Caenorhabditis elegans: one gene and its partner. The protein of the gene in region 1 interacts with the protein of each later gene in a biochemical or structural test. Each region holds a gene or a part of one and is shown on either strand. Other genes may lie near its edges.

What was found.
Region 2: the proteins of meg-3 (region 1) and pgl-3 form a complex in vitro, tested with the Caenorhabditis elegans proteins (one study listed by BioGRID).

What each region holds. Positions count from the first base shown.
Region 1 is NC_003284.9:1,985,815-1,991,732, reverse strand, and holds meg-3 (uncharacterized protein), read left to right. Parts: upstream 1-2,125; 5' UTR 2,126-2,127; coding exon 2,128-2,185; intron 2,186-2,230; coding exon 2,231-3,752; intron 3,753-3,798; coding exon 3,799-3,909; intron 3,910-3,955; coding exon 3,956-4,102; intron 4,103-4,150; coding exon 4,151-4,285; intron 4,286-4,416; coding exon 4,417-4,706; intron 4,707-4,754; coding exon 4,755-5,080; 3' UTR 5,081-5,264; downstream 5,265-5,918. Other genes in the region: Y40A1A.2 (F-box domain-containing protein), read right to left, coding at 686-740, 787-863, 916-999.
Region 2 is NC_003283.11:4,754,116-4,759,192, forward strand, and holds pgl-3 (Guanyl-specific ribonuclease pgl-3), read left to right. Parts: upstream 1-1,869; 5' UTR 1,870-1,894; coding exon 1,895-2,011; intron 2,012-2,057; coding exon 2,058-2,204; coding exon of another isoform or gene 2,205-2,208; intron 2,209-2,249; coding exon 2,250-2,608; intron 2,609-2,655; coding exon 2,656-2,996; intron 2,997-3,042; coding exon 3,043-3,185; intron 3,186-3,235; coding exon 3,236-3,407; intron 3,408-3,450; coding exon 3,451-3,833; intron 3,834-3,884; coding exon 3,885-4,304; 3' UTR 4,305-4,469; downstream 4,470-5,077. Other genes in the region: hil-4 (Histone H1.4), read left to right, coding at 238-516, 703-1,185. UniProt on the Caenorhabditis elegans protein: Guanyl-specific endoribonuclease which cleaves the phosphodiester bond in single-stranded RNA between the 3'-guanylic residue and the 5'-OH residue of adjacent nucleotide, resulting in the formation of a corresponding 2',3'-cyclic phosphate intermediate.

The DNA of each region.
Region 1 (5,918 bases):
TGGCCGATAATCGCCGAATAACTTCTCATGGCTGATCAGTAAATCGAGGTTTTCAACAAAAAAATAATTGGTCAATAGAATTCAAAATTTCGATCAACTGATTCGGTTGGTCGTAGCTCATTGTATTGAATTTTTTAAATTTCGAATAGTCACTGAAAAAATTACAGTTTTATATGGCGATGCATGAGAATTGTTTCAGTAGAGTTTTATTTACTTGGGGTTTATATTAATTGAAGATTAAAAAACGATCTCGACTTAAGTGCTATGCACTGCGGAACTGAGAGTCAGGTACACTGCCTGGTCATCACTACCGACTGAGCAACCCCTCCGGTCTAAAATTTTTGAACTACCGTGAAATGTTAAAACATGGTTAGGTAAAAACTTTTTGAAAGTTTTCAAATGTTTAAGGTCATTCAGACTAAACAAATCACACATGTTTGAGAAAAAACTAGCAGAAAAATCAAAAAATTACCAAAACGTAGAGATGCAAAAGTTGGTAATGCTGATTGAAAAAAGGTTTGGATATCTTAAAGTCAGTAGTTTACCAGACTTAAAAGGATAATACATGTCTTCTGAAGTCTCTATAGCAATCACTTTGCTTGAAAATAAATCACTAGGATTTCGGAATGGTGGTAGATCAACATGGAAAACACGGTTGTCGATAAGAAGTTTGTAGATTTTTCGATTAATTTTTTTTAAATCTACATCTGGTTTCACCAGAATTTTTTGATAGTTCTATTCTGAAAACAATAGACATTTAGATAATTAAAACCTACTTCAACTCACACTTCAGTCAACTTCAATTGATGTATAATATTCCGAAATGCAGGATACGGTAAACCAAGTAGGTGAAAGGGTTGAATCTAAAAAATCAATAAAATTAAACGAAAAACTGTAAAATACATATGTTCTTGCCTTGTTTGACGGGGTCCTGATACCTCGACGTTTAAAAAATCTCAGACAAATAAATGAGGAGAGTTGTGAAATAAAGGAGCTCATACCAAATGGTAACTCAAATATGTAATCGAAAAAAAAAAACACTGAGCAGACTAACGGAGCAGGCGAGCGTCTAAATGGTATAATCGATACATAGAAAGTGGTTATAAATCCTCCAAGTGTGTGACATCATACATTGTGCACAATGTAGCAGTAGCTATAGTAGCAGGAAATTAGTAACATTAGATCTATCCTGTTTGAAAGCATCAATGTCGATGAGTTGTTTTTTAAATTAAAAAACCATCGAGAATAATTTGAAAAATAAAATATGAATAATCTGAAGTCCCAAGGAATACCAAATTTCTACTTGAAGATTCTCAGTTTTTGTAACTTTTTAGAAGTCTTCGATCAAAAAAAATCCTTTGAATAGACATTTTTTCATATTTTTATGAATTAATAATGTTAAGAATCCTTATTAGTTTGGGATATCCAAACATTTTTTAAAATTTATGTTAAAAAACAAAAGATTTCAATGTTCTATATAAAGCAGTTTTTATTACTTTCCAGGTACTTAGTATTCCTATATTAAAATAATTTTAAAAAATTTCAAAACTCTGCACAAATCCGTTTTTGGAGCTATTTTAACGACCCTTTACATCTCGTTTTCAGGAATTCAGGATTATGTTCCGCCGTTTCTTTTAAAAAGTTTGAGATAAAAAATTATTTTAGTTTTGATTTTTCGCTTACAGGTTTTCTAATTAACATCTCCTTTACTGCCTATTATCCTGTTTCTTTTTATAAATTTATTCTTCTCATTTATTATTCAGTGATTATCCAATATTTTAGAGAATTAACTATCAATCCAATTGTTCCTCAAAACTCCATAGTCTTGGATAGTCTTGAAAACTGATCGATACCATGCAAACGGTGTGTGTTGTTTTGTTGATTCCCTGCCGCATTTGAACTATTTTTTCACCGCGCGCACGCATCGCCCCTGTCCGTCTCGCCACACACTATTTCCGCGCGCTCTTTCTCTACCTCTCACACTCTCTCAATCTCCCTAACTCAAGTGTTCATTCTTGTTGCGTGGTCCCACCGGTTTGCATTTTTTCATCTCTGTCTTTCTTTTTCGTTGTATTTTTTTAAATTTCATTTATTTCAATATTTCATTAAGTTTTGATTTTTGCAGGTATGAGTTCCTCAAAACCTTACCCAAGCGGTCTGCCAAACTCGAGAAGAAAAAGAGGAGGTGAGAGTTTTTTGCATCAATTTTTCATTCAATTTGTAAATTCAGGTCGCCGCTCAAGTAGTCGTAGCAATCAGGAAAGTGCATCCAACAACATGGAACACCAAATCACTCTTGACGAATTGTTCAATCCGATCGCAAAACAAGACAGTGCTCAGTCAACAAGCCGTGAATATGGTGCAAAATCGGGGATATCTCATCACGGATCCGTATCATTCAACGGGAATACATTCATGAATGGCCAACAGCTGAATCACTCGATGACTCGACATGGTCGAGTATTCAATCAGTCGATGCATGCAGCTCAAGGAAACGGCAGCAACGCCTTTAACAGTATTCCTCCTACGGCCCCCGTCTTCTCTGCAGACTTCCGCCGCAACTTGCAAACACGCAATAGCTCCAGCTGGTATGAACGAAGATTCCCAGTATCCACAGATCAGGACGACGTTCAGCAATCAAACACAAGACGTAGTAGAAGTCGTCAGAATGGACAACATGGCCTAAGCTTCTCGGATGGTTCGAACAATTATGGTCACGCTGGGAATAAGTCATTCAGTGTGAGTTCCGTTCCCGTTGGGTTCCAGAAGCAAGAAAATAATTCTAAGAAACTGCGACAAACCAATGTTCACCAGCAATGTCTTGGAAATAAAAGCTTCAACGCTCAAGCTGGAGTTCATGGACACGCTTTTAAAAAAGGCCATAAGGACAATAAAAATGCATCTGGAAAGGAGGTTATCAATTCTAGTCTTGTCCAAAAGCACGATGCTATTAAGTCGCGGAATTTGAACCAGAGCTTCTCTGGATTTCCTACACATGAAACCTCATCGATGAAAAATCAACAACAGAAATCAAGAAACGACAGAAAAAAATCACGTGGTAGCAGCAACTTCCAGGATCGTACTTACTTCAACACAAATGACGATGAATTAACTGACGATGTGTTCATAGACGATTCCATGGATGCTGCCCGTGGTCGGAGATCTCGATCAGTCACTAAGAAACTTCAACAATCGACTTATTCAAAGCAGAATGCAGGCAGTAAACAATTGACTGAAAAATGCAAATCTTCTGAAGAAGCGGCTAAACGTAACCTGGTATCCAATGTATTCAGCAAGGACGGCACTGAACTCTCCATTGAACAGTTATTGGAAATTGTCAGCATGAAGATCGGACAACAGATTCACTTGCCTTCCAGCTCTCATGGAGAATGCAGCAATTTGAATCGGACATTACCAGCAAGTGATCTAAATTGCTCAATTGGTGAAGACTTTGACTCCAGTTTTGTGGATGCTAACAACCAAACCCTACCAGTGAGTCTTCCCAAGAAAACTTCACTGTCGATCAAGCGCCGTGGAAGTTCTCGTAGTGCCTCCCGTCTGGCCAGTCTTGATGTGACACTGGAAACTGTTGAAGAAGACGAGGAACCCACGCCAAGTCCACAGCCGAGTTCTCCTCCAAAGATCTCAAGAAGAAAGTGGACAGGAACTTTTGATGCCAACGTTGAGGAAATGAGACGTTTACTTCATGGGGACCCTGAGATGCCGAAATCTGCAAATCGTGCTTCCTCAAGGTATGTAGTGAAATAGTAAAATCTTTAGTAAAAATTTAAATTTCAGCAAGGATCAGATCAATCGGAACAATGTGGATGTAAAGAGAACACCTTCCTCGTCAATCATCCCAACTCCAAAGGCTTTGATCGGAGAAAGATGTCTGACATCATCCAGCAAGTTAGTTTTACACTTGGAGCTTCTTATTTCATTATATTTTTTACAGGTCTTCAAAGTTGAACAAGTCACTTGGCGTGGTTGATTCTAAAGCTACAAAATCACCAATGTATTCCGTCACAGTTTCTGGAAAAGAAACAGCTTCAGGAAAGCGAATTGCTCAAAAGTTGACTCCAAAGGTTGTGGCGCTGGAAAGGTATGACTTTACAAAAAACGAACAACATTTCCATATTTTCTTTTCCAGCTCTTACATTACCGGAATTCCAGTTTCCACGGATTGTAATGGTTGCCCAACTCCGAAGAGAAGTGGAATCAATTGTGAAATTCGTGCAGCTGAAGTATACAATCAAGCTGGGAAATGGCCCTTCGAAATCACCAGGTAAGGTCCAAGTTAATAAATCCGCTATCGATCAAGCATATGGAAAATAATGTACAAGCTGAAAAGATTGAGCTCAAAACTTGATTCAAATCCTGTAAAATTATTTTCTGAGTACAGTAAATTTCTTTCAGTGATCCGGCTCCACTTCCTTGTGAATCAGCCGATCGGATCGAATATCCTTCTCAAGATTGCACTCAAGATCCAGCTTCAACCTCGCCACCACCTCGCATTTCTGAAAGCTTGACAGCATTCCTGGAAGCTCAGCAAGACTTTAACGACTACATTGATACTAACTACAAAGAAAAGACACAACTCCTGAAAGTGAATTTGAATATTCACGGGATGTCACCTGAAAGATGGCTGTACTTGAATTATTTTTGCACCGAGACAATTCCAAGATTGGATGGTCCTTATGCCGATGGTAAGAAAGATAAGACATATTTAATCTTGAAAACTTTAATTTTTTCAGATCCAAGAGTTCCACCTGTGCGAAATATGTTCAGAAAATGGTTCCTCCGTTTTGCTGAAGCCTGCTTAGGAAATCCTCACCAGCTTGCAGTTATGCAAGAGATTGCTGCCACGTTTGTTCAGGCTCGGCTGGACGATACGAGCAGCTCCACAGACTCCACCAATATGCTCTACATGTTGTGGAAGGAGTGTATCGGACAGAAGAATATCATCGCAATTGCTGATGCGTGTTTACTTGCACATCTTCGGAAATCGGATCCTATCAAATACTTGAATGTAAAACGGGATTGGCTGGAATCTATTTTTGACCCACCCAGAGATCAATGATTGTACCAATTTATATCTATTACTTGTAGACTATATTGTATGTTATTCTTGTTCATTAACCCTTTATCCACTCTTGTTATATTTCAACTCGCTTCTCCTTGTGAATTTGTATTATGTCTACCCAGATACTTGTAGAGGGTAGTATTATATTGTTGTCTGGATGATTGATAAAGAATTGCCGATTCTTTAAGATTTGGAGTGGAACTAGAATAAAAGAAAAGTTCGAAATAGATTTAAGAAAAGATGATTGGTAACTGATTTGAAAATATACATATCTTCTCATAGATCTTTTTTGTGAAATTTAAATACTGTCATTAGGCAAAATAGTAGTCACGGATTCAATTTTAAAACAGATGCTTCAGATTTGTTTGGAAAAGTTCCGTTTTTTAATACAGGGTGGGCCATAATTATGCGCACTACTTTGAAGCTTCATAAAACCAAAACAAAAAACACATTAAACAAATAATCATATAGGTTTTGTTCTCCGAGAAAAACTAAATAAGATACCATTTTTGAATTCGAAAATATCACCGTCCGCATTGCTACAGGCCTTCACAAGTTTCGGAAACGCACCAACGATGGCGGACAAGTAGGCACGCTTCAGGGTTTTTCATGTTTTTCTCGGAGGACTCATTAGTTATCAAGTAAAATTTAAAGTTCAAAGAATGCTCTTGATTCAGAGATGCTTCACACAAAAAATCTAAAAGATTGATATTGTTAGGTGACAGTGGCAGCTGATTGAGTATCGAGTACTGTGAAATTCAGTCAAGGCCTAAACGAAGCTTGTGCGCGGAAGCACTGACATGCTAAGAAAATCATATTTGTGTTTTTAGTTATT
Region 2 (5,077 bases), on another chromosome or scaffold:
GGCTTAATTTGTTGCTAAACTATTCATCTTTAAGATTCTGAAAAGAAAATTCAATTTCATAAAGAACCGAGAAAGTTATGCGTGATTTAGTCAAGTGCCCTCAAGTTTCGCGCCATTTCGCATTCGGCGCCAAACAAGATGTGTCCCGACAGGGTGGTAGAGCGCGAGTATATAAGGATGGCGCGCGCTCATTTCTCACACTCACTCTCCAAGTGACCACTACTCATCCGTTCAACAATGTCTGACGTCGCCGTTGCCGCCGACACCACCGAAACTCCAGCAGCCCCAACGAAAGCTTCAAAAGCTACGAAGGCTTCAAAAGCTACGAAGGCTTCAAAAGCTACGAAGGCCAAGACTACCAAGGTGCCAATGGTCAAGGCCGATGCCGCCCATCCACCATTCATCAATATGGTCACCGAAGCCATCAGCAGCATCAAGGACCGCAAAGGACCTTCCAGAGCCGCAATTCTCAAGTATATCACTACAAAATACACGCTTGGAGATCAGGCTAACAAGGTATGTGTTTTATTTAAAGCAGAAAAGCTAAATTCAAATCAATTTTTCTGAAAAATTTTGACCAGGTTTTTGATTACAATAACTTCATTTTTAACCTAAAAATTCTTAAAATAATAAATTGCCGAACAGAAAAGCAGAAAAAAAACTATGTAGAGATGACGTTCCCTAAATTTACCTTTCTTTCAGATCAACGCTCACCTCCGCAAAGCTCTTAACAAGGGGCTTGAAAGTAACGCCTTCGTCCAGGCTAGCGGAAATGGAGCCAACGGACGGTTCCGTCTTGCCGAGAAGACAGCCTCCGTGGCCAAGTCGCCAGCTGCAGCAAAGAAGGACGCCACTGGAGAGAAGAAGGCTACGACGACCGTCGCCAAGAAGGCCGCCACTGGAGAGAAGAAGGCTACGACGACCGTCGCCAAGAAGGCCGCCACTGGAGAGAAGAAGGCTACGACGACCGTCGCCAAGAAGGCCGCCGCTGGAGACAAGGCCAAGAAGACTGAAGTCAAGGTGAAGAAGGTCAAGTCGCCGAAGAAGATCGCCAAGTCTCCAGTCAACAAGGTCACCAAGTCTCCAGTCAAGAAGATCGCCAAGTCTTCATCCATGAAAGCCGCTCCAAAGAAGGCCGCTGCCAAGCCAGCCAAGAAAGCTCCCGCCGCCGCCCCAGAGGCCTAATCACATTGTGTGAATAATCAAATTAATTTCGATCTCACCATTGTATTATATCTCTCCCTCTTGTAGGTGTCCCAGATACTGGTTTTTTTGCATCTAATCATTATTTATTGTTCCTTTGACAAACCAATTCCTATCAATGAACCAATTACTGCATAAAGTTTCAGCGTTTTCTCGTCTTTTCAAAACCTTTCAGATTTTCGGAACAGTGTTCACAGCGGGAAAAGATAGATAAAGTCCCGGAACATCTAGCAGACAGTCTTCTTCACCGTTTGGAAATTTTTGTTGTTTTCCTTCTGGAAAAATTGTATATCAAGTTCATTCGACTGATCAAGCTCGATTTCTTAAAATACACAACTTATCGGCTTAACTTGCAATTTTTGCAATATTCAGATCTTTTTTCAAATAAAGCAACAAATTCTGTTTAAATTTACTCGCAATATTTCGAATTCGGTAATGAAAAGTACTTTCAGAGAACTTTCTAGATTTTTTTTTGAAAAACTGATTTAATTTTTAAAGGCGCACGCCTTTTCCCACGCGATGGGTCCCGACTGGAAAAGCCTCCACGAACTTTTCGATGATTTAGAAGTCAATTTTTTTAAAAAGTTTTTTGTGTGTTTTTGCTCGAAGTTTCTTATTTTCAATCATCATTTGGTGAATTTAAACATTTTACACGTAAAATTTCAGTGTTATTCGTGATTAAAAAGTTCACATGGAAGCAAACAAACGACAAATTGTGGAGGTCGATGGGATTAAGTCCTACTTTTTCCCCCATCTCGCCCATTACCTCGCGAGCAATGACGAGCTGTTGGTCAACAACATAGCACAGGTTTGACTGTAACTATTGGGATTTTTGTTAAATATTCTTCTTACAGGCGAACAAGCTTGCAGCTTTCGTCTTGGGAGCCACCGACAAACGCCCAAGCAATGAAGAAATTGCGGAGATGATCCTGCCAAATGACTCCAGTGCCTACGTGCTTGCTGCTGGCATGGACGTTTGCCTTATTCTCGGGGATGACTTCGTTGGTTTAATTCCGAAATGTTCTTGTATTAATAATTCATTTCAGCGACCAAAGTTCGATTCTGGCGCTGAGAAGCTGAGTCAGCTTGGACAAGCTCATGATTTGGCTCCAATCATCGATGATGAAAAGAAAATCTCGATGCTCGCCCGAAAAACAAAGCTAAAGAAGTCGAATGACGCCAAGATTCTGCAAGTCTTGCTCAAAGTTCTCGGTGCGGAAGAAGCGGAAGAGAAGTTTGTCGAGCTCTCGGAACTGTCGAGCGCCTTGGATCTTGATTTCGACGTCTATGTCTTGGCAAAACTGCTTGGATTTGCATCGGAGGAGCTCCAGGAAGAAATTGAAATCATCCGTGACAACGTCACAGATGCGTTTGAGGCCTGCAAGCCGTTGTTGAAGAAGCTGATGTAGGTTATCATGATTTAATGTTGTGTGTCTCAGGAGTGTTTTTCAGGATCGAGGGACCGAAGATTGATTCTGTGGACCCATTCACCCAACTTCTGTTAACTCCACAAGAAGAATCTATCGAAAAAGCTGTATCCCACATCGTTGCTCGCTTCGAAGAAGCCAGCGCCGTCGAGGATGATGAATCACTCGTCCTGAAATCTCAGCTAGGATATCAATTGATTTTCCTCGTCGTTCGCTCACTTGCTGATGGAAAGCGTGATGCTTCCAGGACAATCCAATCGTTGATGCCGTCGAGTGTCCGAGCGGAAGTGTTTCCCGGATTGCAACGGAGTGTTTTCAAAAGTGCCGTGTTCCTCGCAAGCCATATCATTCAAGTCTTTTTGGGATGTTAGTTACAAAGATTGCAAACTTCTTTGAACAGTTTCTTTTTCAGCCATGAAGTCATTCGAGGATTGGGCGTTTGTTGGCCTCGCTGAAGACTTGGAGAGCACGTGGAGAAGAAGAGCAATCGCTGAATTGCTGAAAAAGTTCAGAATCTCTGTTCTCGAGCAGTGCTTTTCTCAACCAATCCCACTGGTAAAATTATTCCTTCACGTGAACTTATAATCAATATTTTCCTTTTTCAGCTCCCTCAAAGCGAGTTGAACAACGAAACTGTCATCGAGAATGTGAATAATGCTCTCCAATTTGCATTGTGGATCACAGAGTTCTACGGATCGGAGAGTGAGAAGAAATCACTCAATCAGCTTCAATTCCTAAGCCCAAAATCCAAGAATCTTCTTGTTGATAGCTTCAAAAGTAAGCAAAAAGGCTTCTTATTTTAATCGAATAAATTTTACAGAGTTCGCCCAAGGACTGGATTCTAAAGATCACGTGAATCGTATCATTGAATCTCTGGAGAAGAGCAGTTCGTCGGAACCTTCTGCAACTGCAAAACAGACCACAACTTCCAATGGACCGACCACCGTCTCTACTGCAGCTCAAGTAGTAACTGTTGAAAAGATGCCATTCAGTCGTCAAACGATTCCATGTGAAGGAACAGACTTGGCGAATGTGCTCAATTCTGCAAAGATCATCGGAGAAAGTGTTACCGTGGCTGCCCATGATGTCATTCCGGAGAAACTAAATGCGGAGAAGAATGACAATACTCCATCAACTGCCTCACCTGTTCAATTTTCTAGCGATGGTTGGGATTCTCCGACAAAATCTGTTGCTCTGCCACCGGTAACAATTTTTTAAATTTATTTTGTATTTAATATAATAACCGATTTTCAGAAGATCTCGACTTTGGAGGAAGAACAAGAAGAAGATACAACGATCACCAAGGTTTCTCCGCAACCACAAGAACGAACTGGAACCGCATGGGGATCAGGCGATGCGACTCCAGTGCCTCTTGCTACTCCGGTTAACGAATACAAAGTTAGTGGGTTCGGCGCTGCGCCAGTCGCTTCGGGATTCGGACAGTTTGCCAGCAGCAACGGAACGTCTGGAAGAGGCTCTTATGGAGGTGGTCGCGGTGGCGATCGTGGAGGAAGAGGAGCATACGGTGGCGATCGTGGACGTGGAGGTTCCGGAGATGGATCTCGTGGATATCGTGGTGGTGATCGAGGAGGACGCGGAAGTTACGGCGAAGGATCTCGTGGTTACCAGGGAGGACGTGCCGGATTCTTTGGTGGATCCCGTGGAGGTTCCTAAGCCTTCAAATTTCAACGTTTTATTGGTTGTATATTTTGAATATGTACTGATTACGTATTCACAAGTTTTAGGTTCTCTTTTTTCTAAATGATGTAAAATTTCCCAAATCATGTTTTATTTATTGAACCCCGTTTTATTGTGATCCAAGTAAATGTTTGTACTTCTATAGGAATCAGATGAATTTCGCTTTCAGACTTAAAAGTAATGCGTGGGATAATTAGTGATGTCATCATTGTAAATAGTCGTGGTGTCTCTAATCTGGACAATTCGTGTGTGATATCAAGGAATTGCTGATCGAATTAAAGGTACGGTAGCTACCGTTCTAGGATGGTGCAGCCTACCGAATGTACATATTTAGTTTGATGAGGAAACAATTTGCAATGATTAAAACGCCTTTCCGAAATAAATATGGTGCTCGGTCTCGAAACGATAAACTTTCATTGATTGTGAAAAGGTGCGCGCCTTTAAGGATTACTGTAGTCTCAAACTTTCGTTGCTTTAAGACTTACACTTTCCGATGGAAAAATCAAAGACGTCATTACATTTCTAGTTTTTTTTCCAATTAATCTGTTGAAAGTTATTACGGGAACACAAAATTACGAGAAAGCGTATTTTCGCAACACATTTGACGCGCAAAATATCTCGTAGCGAAAACTACAGTATTTCCTTAAATGACTACTGTAGCGCTTGTGTCGATTTACGGGGCTCGATTTCTGATATGAATTTAATCGTTTCGCTGTACTAGTCTCTCACTTTTTGCATAGTTTTAATAT